2 linked regions of the Drosophila melanogaster genome follow. The gene in region 1 interacts genetically with each later gene. Each region holds a gene or a part of one and is shown in the gene's direction. Other genes may lie near its edges.

Region 1 (9,661 bases):
AGAAGATTGGAGTACCGCATGTCCTTGGCGCTGAGACTCCAAGTTCCTTTTTCCCTTGCAGGCACTGCACTTATCAGCTTATGGAGTGTGTATTTTGGTATTTCATTGATCTTGAACTCCTCCGCAGAGTATATAATTGGTTTTATCTGCGACAGACTGTTCCGGTCGAGGACAGAATCAAAGTTATTGATTGGAATGGGACTGGCAATCTGTACAAGATCCGTGGGACGAATGCGATCCACCAGCAGAGCCATCAATTCGATACCAAATCCCTTATTATAGCCCATCGTATTTATCAGCCAAGGAATATTTGAATACTTGGCATCGTTCTGAATGTTTTGGACTAGCTGAATAACTGCTCGGGCATACTGCTCTGCGCACAAGACAATGTTGGTGTGGCCCACGACAATGGCATGTTCCGGCTGCCTGTTGTACAGGAAGCCCGGTCCCAGAAGGGGCTCATCAATTACGGTGCAAGAAATAGTCTGGGGTACAAATATTTCCGGCTGACCAATGTCCAGGTCGATGAGCAGCATGGATGGGAATTGACCCAGATTTCGGTTGATGAGGTAACGCAATAAACTAGACTTTCCGACGCCCTTACCACCGGCTACGATTATTCGGCTCGTTGCATGCATTTGTAACTTATTCCAAACCTGCGGAACTTGGAGAGTGCGACTTTGATCGCTCGATTGAATCAGACAGTGCAACAGGGTTTCACTTTGGCCAAATGGTCGATTGGAAGAATTGACAAGTGGGAATACATTTTGCGCCATGTGCTTGCCAAAGGTATCGACGAGCTGCTGGGCACTTGTGTTTCGGTGGAGCAGTACTATTGCATTCGTCTGACGCTGAAAGCTGGTCTTAATCCTGTCTAGCTGGGCGCGTGTAAAGTTCTTGTTGAGTTCTTCCCAATTTACCTCATCTTTTACAGGTTTTTTAGTCTTGGTTGGCGAAATAGATACCCAATTAAGGCCTTTAGGAGAATAAATTGTGATTGCTTCCTGCCTGCGTGCTCTGTAACCATTTACTGATATTTGACCACAGAGTAGAGTCAACACTAGTGTGCCATAAACTTCGAGGTCCTCCTTAATCACGGCCAGCACATGATTGCTCTTCAGACTGTTCTCAAAGACGCTAAGCTCAGTGGGATTCGCTTGCGGATTTCTGTAAAACGGGACATCGCTTGGTTGGAGATAATTTTCCTTTTCTGGTGTTACAACTTCAGGCAGTGATACCTCATCATTCTCTTCGGTTTCAATTGCAACTTCAGACTCCTTCTTTGGGGGCACACTGCTTAAGTTTTTTACAACAATATCCATAACACTTGACTGTTCAATACGTTCTTGCTTTTTTTCCACAGGCGGATCGTCGAAGATTTCCTCTATAATAAGCGGCTCTCTTTGCATACCCACAGGTGGATGATCGAAGAATCCCTCAATGTCAGGTGGCTCATAAGTTGAATCGAGGTCGTCGGTGTCGAAGATATCGCTTCCGAATTCTTCACTATCGCTGTCACTAACATCCTCCATATCGCTATATTCACTGTAGAAATCTCCATCACTATCATAGTCTGCGCTGCTTGTGTCTTCACTGTCAGACTCTTCGCTGTCAAATTCCTCCGATCCAAAGTCATCGCTATCTTCTGGCTCATAATCAATGTCATCTTCGTCGCTGTCAGTTTCTTCCTGTGCACTTTTAAATACCTTAATCTTTCGAACTGTTCCACTGCCATCCCCATCCAACAAAAGAGGTTGGTATTCATCGTGTTCAAAAGGAGGAAGAATATCTGATAACTTGTATTCGGGGCCTTTGCATTTGACCTTAAAAATCTTTGGATCTTTAAGAAATGTCTCGTCTATTTCTTCAACTACATCGTTTTCAGAGTCTAAAAAACATAGTTTAAGTTAAGAAACAAGAGTAATATTAAAAATTCCTTACCACTTTCAATTAAATAATCGTCTTCTTCACTCCAATCATCCAATGAATTCATTTCAATGTCACTTGTTTCCGCTGCAGTACCAATTATCTCTACTACTTTACCATTTTGTACGACCTTCATTGAGCTCTTGTTTCCATTTACCTTATGTTTCTTAGATAAACTTGCTTCTTTTGTTTTATTTGGCGTCTTGACTTTGGTTTTCTTAGGAGCTAATTCTGAAAAATACATATATATTAAAATAAAATGAGGTTGTAATTCTGGATCTAATGCATACCATTTATACTATGAACCTTGGGAATAGGAAGCTTAGCACTTTTGCTTGTTGCTGCAGATTTTTTAGCTGCAACATTTGAGGATTTATTTACAGGATTCTTTTTGGGTAGGGTATTATCCTTTTTAAGCCTCTTCTGGGATGGTGAACTGTCTGGATTCGACACATTATTGGAAAGAGGTCTCTTTGCGCCGGCTGTCTTATTTTTCTTGGATTTTTTGGGCGACTCCATCTGGGCTTTTTGAATCATTGTTTCCGAAATCTTTGCAGGATTGCTGGCCACCTTTGAAATAACTTTTTTCTTTGGAACAGCAGGTGGGTGTTGTGGTTTTTCCGGCTTACGGCGACCAGAGGCTAGTTCTCGCTGTTCGGTGAGCTGGAAGCTCAGTTTCATTTCTTTCAGAATATGTTCGTCAAGCATTCCTTTTCAGTTTTTTGCTGAACTACCAATACTTCCCGGGCCATGCGACCGCAAATTTAAGAAGAAGAGCAAGAATAACATATGTGCGGTGTTACCAGTCGTGGTCGGTCATGGGAATAACGCGCACAGAGTTGCCATCGATGAGAACTATCGATTGGGTTAATAACAGCCCTGCGCTCGAAGGCGTTGGTTGGTCATCGAGCGTTCATCCCGCTACCGAGAAATGAAACGGATGAACATTGTTCATCGTCATTTTGCATGGGAAAAAATCGTCGAGTTCAATTCGAATTTTTGTAATTGCATTAACTTTTATACGATATAGCTAAACGGTAGACGCATAAGAATCAACAAATTTGTGCCATTTTGTAAGCAAATTAAGTGTCGAATTCGTGCTGAGTGTTGTGAAATCACCAATATAAATTGTAAGTGGCCGAAAGAGCAGAAGTGAAAAAATTCCACACAGCACGCACACAAATGCACGCACGCCCAGCCAGAGGCGAACAGACACACGCACACACACACACACACAGCCATACCGAGAGTGGATGATGAGATGTTTTTGGAATAAAGTGTGAGCGGGACGGGCGCGGAGAGAGGAGTTTCCTGGAGTGTTGGAGAGAGGGGTGGAGAAGCGGGCGGCCCTATGACGCGACCAAAATGAAAATGCGAATGCGAAAAACCGTAAAGAAAAACGGGAAAAACTCGGCTAACGGACAATGGACAATGGCCAGATAAGAAAGAACCCCACACTTTATACTATTAGATCGCCGTCCAGCCGCAAGTATGACTAAGTGTGTGCGCGAGCGGGAGAGGGCTATCGGAAAAGAGAGCGAGCGCGCGAGTGTATTTGTGCTGTGTGTCCACCAGTGTGCGTGTGACTGTATGCGAGTGTGTGTGTGGCTTTTTCATTTTGATAATTTTTTGAACAGGCGCTCGTTCAGTTTTCGCGAATATATAAAACAGAACGGCTGACTCGGATTCGGAATCGAAAATTGTATTCGGATTCAGAATCGGACTCGGAATCCTCGGGCATCCGCTGCACTTGCATTGCATCTAGCTACAGTTTGATTTTGCCTTTTGCAGAACTTCCAATGACGACGATTCGCAAGAAATTGGTAATTGTCGGCGACGGTGCCTGCGGTAAAACTTGCCTTCTGATTGTCTTCAGCAAAGATCAGTTCCCCGAGGTCTATGTGCCCACCGTATTCGAGAATTATGTGGCCGACATCGAGGTGGATGGCAAACAGGTAAGCCCCTTTTCCCGGACAGGCCCGCCCCTCCCCTAACTACCCGTCCCGTCCACCACTCTGAATGCCACCCCCAACCGGTGGCTGACCCCCCTCCCCTGATAACCCCACCCTGCCATCCAAGTGATAATCGTCTGATCTCGTTTTATAATTTGTGTGCATTCTCAATTCATTCCGTTTTTCAAGTGCGCGTATCCTCCTTACACTTTCCACCCGCCTCTGTGTGTGTGTGTGTGTGTGTGTGTGTGTGTGCGGGTGTGTGTTCCCATGGGTGTGTGTTTATTGTTCTCTTGTTTGTGCCACCCACAACTTCACCCACACCTTGGTCGTTGTATTTCCTTTTCTTCGCCTGTAAAATGAAATGAGTCAATATCGCCTCATGCCCACAGACGCATCCATAAATAAAGGTGTCTGGAAAAGCAAAAGAAAAATTAAGATCATTTTTGGTTAAGTGGAGTGCAAATTTGGATTTTTCCGAAGAATTCAAAGTTTTGATAGCAGTGATTAAGTCACACTTGGGCACATTTCCCCACACTTACACGCACACATGCTCAACAGAGAGTTGGCAGCACACACACACACACAGAAGTAGTGCTGCTCCCTTCCTTCCGCTCGTTTTCTTTTCTTTTTATTTTGTATTTGTCTTATACAAGTCCGTTGCGCACATACAGTTTAATGCGTTGCGCCGCCCCCCGCTCTTTCTGCTGCTCTCTCGGGCGCTCTCACTCTTACTCTTTCTCCCTGCCTACCTGTACTCTCTTCTAAGGGGGGGGAGCGCTCTCCCGCTCCACCGCGCACTCCCTTACTCTATGGAATGTAATGTGCGTTTTCCATTGGGGCATCAAGTCATGATTTGGCTATATGTTCGTTCATATATTCCATTTGGGATCTACAGTATTTTCAGGCGCTTTTTTTCGAAATAAACACTGTGTGTTTGCCTTTGCTGCGCAATATGGCGGGTTTTCAATTTTCAGTTTCTGTTTGTGTTTCTGTTTGGATAGCGTTTACATACACACAAGTTCACGTCATTCCACTTCGCCTCGCTTCGATGTGATTAATTCGTTTGGCATTTCCGTCAAGTTCCTTGCTCACACTCTCGTACTCGCACTCATGCTATCTTCAACTCGAACTTGTCCCATTCTCCTCCGAGCCCGCATCGCACCGTCCCGTGCCACAAAAAGCCCCATCTATCTATAACCCTGACGACACCGCAACTGCAAGCGTAACTCTCAATCATAATCCGCATCCGATTCTCCAGGTGGAGCTGGCCTTGTGGGATACGGCCGGGCAGGAGGACTACGACAGACTACGACCGCTGAGCTATCCCGACACTGACGTCATACTGATGTGTTTCTCAGTGGATTCACCCGATTCGCTAGAAAATATTCCTGAAAAATGGACCCCAGAGGTGAGTTTAACTGGAATTACAGAACAGTTTCTATCAGACGATCGTAAACAAGTATGGTACTATATATATATATACTATACGGAACTAACAAGTCTAGACAAAATATGTTTTTAATTTTTATGTAATGATGCAAATTTGGAAAAAGTTGAACTTTTAACTCCAGTTAAAATATATTAAACATTTTTGAAGTTATCGAATGCATTTGCTTATGATATGGAATCTTTAAGACTATGCATCTCTGTGTTCTTGTTTATGTCATTGAAGCTATCTGAAAGACTGGTTTTGGTTTAGAACGAGGAAAGTTTAATAGAATTGTTGGTTATTTCTAGTTTAATCACTAAAAATAGTCTGCTATGAGCCAATTTGCTTTGACTTTCTGAATCATTTCCTTACTTCTCAGCCTTTAATTTATAATGATAGATATAGATAAGAAGAAAGTAAGTGGTTCCCAATTACGAATTACTTGTTTTTGCAGTTCGACTATATGGAATCTGATATCAAAATATGATACTAATCCTTACTACATTATTGCAGGTCAAACACTTTTGTCCAAATGTTCCAATCATTTTGGTAGGAAATAAGAAAGATTTGCGAAATGATCCCAACACAATTCGGGTACGTATACGCGCTGTTGAACGAGGTGAACTTGCAGCACTAAACTAAACTTGATTTTACAGGATCTAGCAAAAATGAAGCAGGAGCCGGTGAAGCCGCAGGAGGGTCGCGCCATGGCCGAGAAGATTAATGCCTTTGCCTATTTGGAGTGTTCGGCTAAGTCCAAGGAGGGTGTGCGAGATGTTTTCGAGACGGCAACTAGGGCCGCGCTGCAAGTCAAAAAGAGGAAGAAGACCAGATGCCTTTTGCTCTAAAAGAGCAAATCAACAACATGAAAATCTTTACCACACACACACACAGCAAAAACAACAGCATAAACACACACAAACACACATACACACCTTTTACAACAATAACGAGCTGAACAACAACCACTCAACAACAACATCAAGAACAACCAGAACATCGGATACACGAAGCTGCACCACCACCCAACCAGCAACAAACATGAGCAGAAAACAGAGAGCTTGAGCTAGAAGATCAGCGGAGGAGGGATGCAGCGAGATATAAGGGAAGGCAGCACCAAGTAGAATGTCAAATGCGGATTTGATTTTATATACAGTCTAGTGTAGTTATAAACCGAAGTAAACAACAGTAATAACTCTGGCATTATTATTTGTAAAAACTAGGGCAGAGCAGATCAATCAGTCAGCCACTGCAAGCAAAAAATATATATCGATATATGTAAACATATTCAAGTTGTGTCCGTTTCTGTCCACCCCCTCCTCCTAGATGTATGTTATTATTTCGTTAACTGTGTTGTCAAGTGTAGAGTCGGCTGTGGCTGGACGAGATTGTGTCGTATGCGAGGGTGAGTGAGTCAGGTGAATCAGTGGAATTAGGAACAGAATCGGAAACGGAATCGGATGTTGGATCCCGGGGTCCAAGGAGGTCGTAGGCGTCAAGATGAGAGTTATGTTCCCATTAAATCTATCAAATACAGAGAGACCAGGCCGCCAATAGGAGTTGGAAGCGAAACTACATTACAAGAGCCGAACTAAACACAAAACAAAACAAAACAAAAACGATAAATGTTTATTTAACTAAACGTAAGCCACAAATGAGATGCATTCAGTTTTCGCGTGGGAGATGCTAAGAGGGAAAATTTTTGATGAAGTGAAAAACTATTTCGAGCGCATTAAGCGAGTTTTTAATATTTGTACTTTGCATTAAAACGAGTGGAAAACATAAAAAAAAAAAGATACTACAAAACAACCAAACAACTATATGAAGAGTATTTTATGATTTTATAAAATACGATTATACATATAATTATACTATACAGTACATATGTGTATGTCTCTTTTTTTGTATTTTGTACCGTCAATCGTGTAATTCTCACACAGAAGTTGAAAAACTCGAAGATGCATCAGATACAACCAAACTATATTATACTTATGAATAAACAGTACATTTGATCTACTCTTGGTTTAACTAACTGTTTTCTTATTTGGCCGGGCATCGAATTTTATTAGGCTAAGATAATGGATTTAAATCCGGGGAATACCCGCCCTTTAAAGTCAAAACACTTATCTTTAACGGGGTTAAAAAAATCTTTATTGAGGGTATTGTTTTTGTTTATTTTGTGCTTTTGTATTTAATTTTTTTTTTTACATTTAAAATGTACATAACATTATGAATCAAAATGTTTTGGTTTTTCATCGATTAGGTATTAGGTTTCACAATATTATTCCCGAACAGGTATGTCGTTTTCGAAACAACATGGACACGACACATTGCTTTGAACATCTAGTTCCCAAGCCTTTTCTCTTAAAACGTACTTTTTAATCGCTTAACTTTCGCGGCGAAAGCAATTCTATTATATTTCTACCCGCATTTGATTCGTTTTCGTGTTGGAGCTGTTGTTTTTCTTTTTTTCGTCAGTCGATCTGTTTGGTTCGAACGGTTGCAGGATTCGCAATAACAATTAATTATTAGTAATTATGGGTAGTCCATTCAACTGTTTTTTGGGATCATGTAACAAACAGAGTAATTAAAGCCGTGTTAGTATTTTGTTTCCGGTGATGCAGTTAACATTGATGAGAGGAACTCATGGTGATTGCTTAGAGAACGTGATGTGTGGTTTCTTGTGGTAAAAGTAATCAACAGATTTCGTTAAACTAATAATAAATAAACTTAGGCGTAACACGTGTGTCCTTAACAATATAAACAATAGACTTTTCTCAAACTTAAACAACAAATGCATCGGCTGTCGTGGACTTAAATTATCAATTTGGGCTTGGATCTGAAATGAACGCACATTCTCATTCATATTTCATAATTTGCAATGTTCCCGCGTTTTACATACTTCTTAGGTCGATCGATCGATTTATAATATTAGTATACATTAAATTCAACATTTATTCGATTAGTTAAATGTGTGGCTCGTGTAACGTATGTCATGTGCGTGTATTCTGGGTAAATACGTACATACATAAGTTTAAAAATCCTCCAATTCTCTGCCCTTCGCACCTGGCAATTGGCTTTTGGGTTAATCTCCTGGCTAGGATTCAGAGTTGTTCAGATTGTTAGTGGGGGAAGACTCGACCCCTCGATCTTGCTGAATTTAAATGCTTTTGAGCTTTAGCCAATTGCCACACTTGCTTAATCGCTCTCGTCTAGGAATCAACATTAGTAATATTTACTACATAAACATATGTACGTGCATTGTTAATATGTATCTTTTGGATCGGTGCTTAAACGTATTGATATACTCTATCGCTGATCTACTGCCTCGCTATCCTTTCCGGCCAACAACAAGTACTTTAAATAGTTTCCATAACAAATAATAAATAAACCACTGTGGCCATAACAATTAGTTATCTGCTCCTCGATCGGTTAATTTCTCTTTTGTATGTTGTATCTGATGGGTATGTGCTATATACAAAATATAGCAAACAAAAGTTACTTGGTTTTTGTGGTTAATATTGCACTCATTTCAAGGAATCCGCCTCCTGGTCTAGTTAAGGTTTCGTCTGCGCCGGAAAACCAATGCGAAAATGGATCGGATGCGCCACCAGCGACTTCGTCGCCCCGTGTGAATCTTTTCCGAATTGGAGTCCGTGCCCAGGGCCTTGTGCATTTCCTTGCGTCGAATCTCGCGGACCAACGTGTAGAATGCCTCGTCGATGTAATGACGCAGTGCAGCCGATGTCTCAAAAAACGGGCAGCCGAACTGGTTGGCGAGATTCCGGCCCTCCTCGGTGGTCACGCGTCGCTGCGACTCCAGGTCCACCTTGTTGGCAATCAGAACCAGCGGAATGTCCTCGGACAGGCGGACACGGGTTATTAGTTTCCTGTACTCGGAGGCCTCCTGGAAGCTGTGGCGGTCGGTGACCGAGTAGCATATGATGAAACCTTCGCCGCAACGCATGTATTGGTCCCGCATGGCCGTGAACTCCACCTGGCCGGCGGTGTCAAGGATGTCGAGCAGGGCGGCCTCATTGTCGATGACCGCCTGTTGCTGGTAGGAGTCCTCTGCAGCAGCAAAAAAGAAAAAAAAAACCGGTATACATTTAGTGGGGTTGTGGGGGCTTGTGCCTTAGACGCCTTGCGCACCCTGCGCCTTACTCACCAATTGTGGGGTCGTGGTAGTCCAGGAAACTGTGGCTCACGAACTGAAGGGTGACAGCTGTTCGGGTTTCGTCGTCGTTTTCAGAGGGCGTTGGGAGTGGTGGTTGGTGGAGTTTCGTGGGTGTCGGTGGTACGGGGGTCAAAACAAAGCGTAAAAGAAATTGAGATAATTTATTGATTTTTC
Region 2 (7,312 bases), on another chromosome or scaffold:
GGCCTGGTCGATGATGTCAACTAGGAAACTTTTACCTATTCACTTAGGTTGCGCCCCCTAAAATGTTTATTGGCAAACGATGAAAACAAGAAAACGCAAATTTAATTATACCCGTCACTCGTAACACAGTAAAAGGGTATGCTAGATTCACTGAAAACTCAAATTCGGACTGTTAAGACTGAGTTCATTGCAATGTTAAAGCATTGAGTTTCTGCATGCAACTGCTTTATTGCTTTTACGATGAACTATCTGATTAACGGGTATCTAATAGTCGCGACACTCGACTATAGAGTTATCTTTAGTTTTTATTTTGATTTCTGAGTCATTCAACCCGCGCCGCTGAGCAAAACTTTCATATGGGAAGTGCTGGCGAGACTTTCTTAAAAATTTGAAATACTCGTGCGTCAAGTCATCCACAAGTCCACAATTTACCAGCAGGGCCCCAAACGCCCCTTGTGGGGTGGGTGAAACCGATATTAGCTGAGCGGAATAGTTAATTAAGGCATACGCGACATATGCTAATGTCGCCGAATGTGCATATCAATTTGTCAGAGTCGCTCGTCCAACTCCTCGCCCGTTTTGGCCAAAGAAGCCGCGGGCCGCTGAGCCGTAATCAGAAATCCGTAAGCCGGAAAGAGTCGGGCCAATTGACGGATGTGCGAGCGAGTGGCACAGATGCGGGTGATCCGCCGCTGGGAGAGGCAGCTGTCAGTGATTATTATAATACACTTTCATCGAGAGATTTATTTTACTCAGCTTTGTTGTTTCCTTAGCGTTGTTCCCCAAGTTCGTTGCTTAAGTCTTTTGATTTTCCCCTAGAAGGCTCAGGAAACTGGCAAGCAGATTAGCCGCATCACATCAGTTATCGCGCCCTTCACCTGCACCCCTAACCCTACCCTTTCCACCCTTTCCACTCGTCACTCACACTTGTGATTTAGTGGGCGTGCGCAAGAGAGAGAGAGAGAGTCCGAAGGAAAAGGACGGGGCGAGCAAACACTTGTGTTTGACTCATTCATGTCAGGTGCCAACAGGCGGATAAATTGTTTGTGTATTTCTCCATTTCGCTGTGATTTCTGCCCGGCAAGAATATTAAAAGGCCGTACTTTCATGCTTTCTAGTGAAATTGAAAACTCATTTAAACAGCCGAAAATAAACAAATTGAAGACGACGCGGCCGTGGGCAAAATTTCACTTTCAACCAATGTTTTTAAACACCTTCTCTGTACTTTAGGATTTCGTCAGCTCAAGCTCAAAAATGATATGGATATGATTTTACAAGATTTCGGGCGGAGGCAGACTTGATGAAGTAGGAGCATCTGCGATTAGCTGGAAATGGAAAAGGGGCTGGGCAGAGGTTGTGCCTGGAGATAGGGGCGAACCAAATCAGATTAGCCAGGGAAATGAAGTGGGTTCTTTGAGTGATTACGAACTGCCTCATGCTCACGTTTTCTTGGCCCATCGACAAAAAGCTGCTAATGGGAAATTATGTCTGGCTGCATCACATAATGGCCAAGTAATTGCGATCGAAGCGTGGTGGCTTTCGGATGAGTTGGCACAACACCCATAAAAAGCCCTTCGAGTAGCAAATGGGAGATGGGAAATGGGAGAGTCGATTCGATTTGGCTCGGGCTGTGAGGATTGCATTAATCAATAGGGAGACTACCACTCCGACTACCTATGACTATGACGGATTCCTACTAATTTGCTTCTCGCCGTTCTCCTCTTTTCCACTTGCAGCCAAAGACTAATCCCAACAACGAAGCCAATTAGCAACAACAGGTGAGTAAGAAGTCATTGAAGACGGTTCGCTGCCGAGGAGGCAGTTGGTAAATGTTCGATAGGTCTAGAAAATCGGAAAATGAGTGCGCTTTACAGCCCATAAATATAAGTATGATACATCATTGAATAGTCGCTCTTCTATTTTCAACGATCAAAATTTAGACGTGGTAGAAGATGGTTACACCATCAAATTGGTTTTAAAATAATAATAGCATTTGCCTCTTCAACTGTTAAGGGTATCAAAAAGCTAAAAAAAAAAGGCGCGAATATCCAGCCAAAACAGCTAAAGAACGGATGGCCACCTCATGCCGTCGACTCCAAATTGAATGACCGTCAGCATTCGGTATTTGGCCAATGATCGTCGGTATAAGACAACAACATTGGCTCTAATAAGGACCGTTACATAAAAAAAAGAGATGATGAGAATCGTTGCTGAAAATCGGGAAGTGGAGATAGAGGGGCAGAGGCGGTGTTTTTACACGGCGGTATTGCCATGATATTTTATTTTTTGCATGACACTTGCAAAATCGAAACAAAAGAGAGGGAATAACAAACTTTACTTGTGACGACCTTAAATTGTTTTTGACTTTGACTTCGACTCTGGCGGCTTTGAGCCCACAATTGCCAAAGTTACCGGTGAACATGGCTATGTGCATGTTGCCGAACAACTTATCGAGCGGACTAACAATTGTCTGTTGTGTGCGGCTGATTTGCCAGAGCTAATTAAGTTGTTCGATAGACAGTTCGGCTGTCCAATTGTTTCTTGGCTTGGTTTCATGCTTCCAACTCCTTTACATTGGTCGGCTAGTTGTCTCCTTTCGAAGTTAAACTATCACTGGTTGGATTGCATTTGGGAATGAATCGCAGGTGGTATTCCAGTATCGTGGACCTTAGGCTCCGCTTGGTCTTCTAAATGCTCGTAGCAGTAAGCTCTTCGTTTCACACCCATAATTACCTCGATATCTCTTCAAGTGTCTCAGCCCTTGTGATTTCATAAATACCCCAGGAATGCACCCCGCACGCACATGGAAATGCAGCACCTTCCACCACCCACTATCCACCAAGGCGGCCCCAATCCGCGAGCCAAGGCGAGCGGTGTGCGGGCGGGAGTGCGACTGAGACTGGGACACAGTGGGGTCTGCGGCATTAGGCACAGAATAGGCTCAGAGCCCGCTTTCTGCCGTCGACCGGTTTCGCGTTCGCGTTGGAGCCCGCTCCGGCTCTCGGGCTCTCTGCTGGCACCTGTCGCTGCCACTCTGTCTTGGCCAACTTCTTCGGCTTGCCGCGGCGACGTGCTCGTGCTCGTCGTGTTGCTTTTGGCCAAGTCGCCGCTGCCGTGGGCACGTCTTGAGCGGCGAGCGTTCAATGCGCTGCCAGCCGTCGATAAGAACGCACGCGAGCGGGTCAAGTCATCCGGCAGACAGAGACCGGCTATGGAAAGCAAAACCTAAGGCTATAGGCTATATAGAAGTCGAACTGATTAAATCGGAAATTGGAAATACGCGCGCGCGTGTGCTTTTCGCAAAGCGAACGAACACTGTTTGAATACACTTTGTATGTCAATTTAAAATTTTTTTTTTCTTCGGATTAATTTTTTTTTGCATCAAGTGAATTGGCAATGAGCAGTGCGTGATGTGCGAATTGGTGCTGCATCCCAGTCCGCGGCAGAAGAGACTTGCAACGCTATAGTTATAGTTTTTGAATTCGAATTCCAGTGCTACAGAGCAGTATCATTATGTCGAGCATGAATCAAATGAGTGTCCTCATGGATAAGATCAACACGGTGAGTGCCAAGGGATTCTCTGGGCTTTTGGGGGCGTTAGTGGGTCTCTGGGTCGATCCACTTAAACCTGCCAAAGAGTGGACCTTTACACGAATTCGGTTCGGTTGTTTCGTTAAATTGAATCGCTTTTTGTGCAACCCAGTAAAATGGTGTGAAAACTATTTGCTACACTGTCGCCTCGAATACTTTGTACATTTAATACATCTATTGTTATATTCATAAACTATTTTGTTTGGTTAGGAAGTCTGTCTAGCTTCTGTGCTTTTACTTCGCAACCCCTTTTGCAATTTCGAAGAAAAGTTATTGGCTGAAGGGTAAGTCCCTCTTAACTGCTTTGGTTTCGTCACGCAGTTCCCTGCTGCACCTCTAAGGTTTTCCACCTGCTGTCTGTGAGCCTCGTATCGAGGGGGGGGGGCGAAGTAGATGAGGGGCAGGGAAAAGGGGGAATAGGCAGCGAGAGTCCGCTCTCACTTGACCAACAATTTAACGTCATTTGCATTCAAAAGTGTCGCCTAGACGCTCATAAATAAAATGAAATTGAAATTTTTGCGCCTCACTTTTCCCAGTCCCCCTTCTCCGATCGCCGATCCCCGATCCCCGATGCTCGGATGCCCGATGTCCGATGCCCGGGTACTCGACGTATTTTGATTGTGTGGAAATGAAAGTGAAATGCGCTCCAGCGAAATTAAGTGCCCATTGGCCGCCATCCCGCAATCCACCAATTCCCCCGCTCACTTCGCCCCTGATTTAAGTGCGGCTGAATGAGCTTCAATTGAATGAGCTGACGAAATGCCGCGCGCCGCATAACAAACATAAAACAAAAATCAAACGAAAAACAAACAAGTGGCCGACGTCCAATTCGGCAAATTATATGGCGGGATGGGATCGGTATTGGAGGTACCGAAAGTACTCGAGGTGCACTGCAGCCAGGCGTCTGCTGTTTGTGCAACAATAATTAATTAGTAATAATTTTCGGTTGCCTTCTTGTGTGCGAGTGTAGAAATGCCGATGGGGGGTAAGAGTTGGGCAATCTGAACGGTCGAGCCTCTGCTGGATCCTCTCAAGACCCATCCCATGCTATCCCATTCTCGCACTCTCGACCAGCACTTATTGGTTGCGATGAATGAAGCAGCTCCTGGCTTGGATTCGGCATGAAATTAGAAGACTGCAACTGCAATAGCTTTATAGCAACCCAGCTGACTGAAGTCCATCGAAATGTATGTATGGCTTTGGAAAGGAAAAAGAACAAATACTGCACAGCATAGCAATGGCATTTATCGCATATTTTACACCAACTCAACTGACACAACACCTCTATGCTGGTTGGGAAATGTCATAATACCACTTGTCTGTCCTACGCTCTACTTGTGTGGGTTTTCAATGACTTGTAGCTCCACTTCGGGCTGCGCTGAGTTTACTTCCTGGCGACACACTGACGCCTAGAGGGAGTTGGGCAACGGGAAGGGGCAGGGAATGGGGGCTATCATAATTCGCGATTGGAGGGATTATCCCCAACGAATGACCAATAATTAACGGCAAGTTCCGTTGTGACGTCAACTACCGCAATCTGCGCTAGAATTCCATTGAGCTTTCTCCACGAAATGCGCAGGTTGCATAATCTGCATCTGCATCAGCATCTGCATCTCGGCCAACTGTTTGCTTCTGCATCTGCAACTGCAACTGCCGCCAAACCCGCTCGCGAACTGGTTCGTCTGGCCTGTGGCCGCCTTATTTATGACGCAAGCCGCTGGCGGATTCTAGGCTCTAGGCTAGCTAGGCCAGACTGACATTGGCCTAGCCCACGGAGTAGTTCGAGGCGATACGGGGGCATTCAGCAGACGGACTCGATTCTCACGAGCACTGGAGCTGGAATGTGGGCCAAGTCATTGGATGGATAGTTAAATTATCTCAACCGGTGGCTTCACACTTGCTCACCTCCAATTACCTGCTATTTATATGTGGCACTTTCAGCTTGAGGCTGCAAGGCCTGCTAGTATTTCTTGGGCTATGCCAAAGTCTGCTACAAAAAAAAAAATATATCTATTGCATTATAGTGTATTTATAGTGTATGAAATAATAATATGGCATAGTCCGTAATCCGAACCCTAGACAAATCCAGACAGACCGCCAAGGTCTCCGGCCACCCGTCTCCTCGATTGTGGTGACCGCATCACAGAAAGTTGATTCCCGATAACGGATTGATATCACTACCTAGACACGGGAAGCTCTGACCCATATAGCCATATAACCCTATAGCAATTGGGCATAGGCCTGGCCGCACACGAACACTTTATACATTTTCGGAGCCCATATACGGAAGCCGTGCAATGCTAATGAATCGCTGCGAAAGCAACCGAAACCAGGCACCACCAGCACATGACCAAAACTAGACTGGGAAAAGTGTGTAATAATTTCCTGTCTCAGCCTGATTTGCATGTGAAGTCCCCACTCCAGCTCGATTTAATCCACTTGGACTTGGATTCGGATTCGGAGACCGCTGCTCTCCAATCCAATCCAATCCAATCCAATGCAATTCACTCTACTCCACTCCAGCTGGCCGTCTTGTTTGACTTACTTCATCATTCCTAATGGCAATAGATACCAAAGTATCTGCATGTAATGCGATCCATTTGCGGGCCACCTACGCTCCGAAACTTTCCAGAGTTTGTCAGAGATTTGAATTGAAATTTATGCGGACATGAATTAGCCGCCGCTGACCCGACTAATCAACTGGAAAAGCATAATTCCTTTGTTTTCGCCTTTTTTTTTCCGAGTGAAAGTGCCCATCTGACAGCTGATAACGCATTTGTTCGTGGATCGGATGTGGATGGGATGTCCGGCACATAAGCCAAGCAATTAGCAATTAAAGGTAACCATATCGGGACATATTAGGTTCTCGTTTATATAAAATGAGCTGAAAGCGATCGATGAACATTCTTTTTAAATTATATGTGAACAAGAAATCTAAACGATAAATACACCTTAAACGAGGAGTTCCATATATATAGTACAATACCATGTATCTCAGTATTTGCTCTGGGTAATTATCACATCAGCTGTGATAAGATTCCCCGCCACCTTGCTCTTCCACTCTTTCGCTGAGTATCTCCGCATCTTGGATGGCGTATCATTGTCAGTGTCAAAGCAAGTAAACATGCAAAGCAAGGCAAATATAGCTATATTTTGGACCGAGTTGGATAAGATACGGATCTCGGCCAAAAACTTTGCCCAGTTGAGAACCCAGTTCTGGGGCAGGAAGATGCAAACAGCCGTGCAAGTTGAAGTCAAGAAGCCGCCGCGAAAAAACAAGGTGAGGTTCAGTTAGTTTGGAATCGCGATTGGTTTCGTTCGGCAGGGGCCTAAGGTCAAGCTCGTTTTCCCTGACCCGCTGCCCCACTCGGCAATGGAGGTGGCAATCCCAACCATCCTCAACACGGTCCAACCGCTTTCCACGCACTCACGGCAGGGGCAGGAGTTTTCTTTGTTAGGCAGATTTCACCGACAAACAAAGCAAGAAATTGCCAGCTTAATTTACGGCATTGAACTGACTGGACTGACTGGACGACAGAGTGCTAGGAAATGCGGGATGGGGCAGCGCACGATCTATGCTTTGCTGATCTTCTGCTTTGTTTTTCCCCGTTTCCCTTTTCGATAAACATTTTCACTTTCGTTTTCGTATTCCTATTCAATTTGTGTGTTTTGGGGTTTCGCTCAGATTCGAGATACGAGCGCCACAGAGTTTTCCCCTCGA

The links. A genetic interaction does not mean that the proteins touch.
Region 2: of Rho1 (region 1) and DAAM, changing one enhances a phenotype caused by changing the other (phenotypic enhancement), as found in Drosophila melanogaster (2 studies listed by BioGRID).

What each region holds. Positions count from the first base shown.
Region 1 is NT_033778.4:16,099,894-16,109,554, forward strand, and holds Rho1 (Rho1), read left to right. Parts: upstream 1-2,793; 5' UTR 2,794-2,999; exon of another isoform or gene 3,000-3,056; intron 3,057-3,203; exon of another isoform or gene 3,204-3,415; intron 3,416-3,572; exon of another isoform or gene 3,573-3,717; 5' UTR 3,718-3,725; coding exon 3,726-3,881; intron 3,882-5,139; coding exon 5,140-5,289; intron 5,290-5,823; coding exon 5,824-5,904; intron 5,905-5,966; coding exon 5,967-6,158; 3' UTR 6,159-7,336; downstream 7,337-9,661. Other genes in the region: CG8414 (uncharacterized protein), read right to left, coding at 1-1,888, 1,942-2,157, 2,217-2,634; Ric (Ras-related protein interacting with calmodulin), read right to left, coding at 8,864-9,381, 9,479-9,535. UniProt on the Drosophila melanogaster protein: Has a role in regulating actin cytoskeletal organization: required during early development for proper execution of morphogenetic movements of individual cells and groups of cells important for the formation of the embryonic body plan.
Region 2 is NC_004354.4:1,304,325-1,311,636, reverse strand, and holds the start of DAAM (dishevelled associated activator of morphogenesis), read left to right. Parts: upstream 1-3,164; 5' UTR 3,165-3,513; coding exon 3,514-3,561; intron 3,562-6,791; exon of another isoform or gene 6,792-6,871; intron 6,872-7,276; exon of another isoform or gene 7,277-7,312.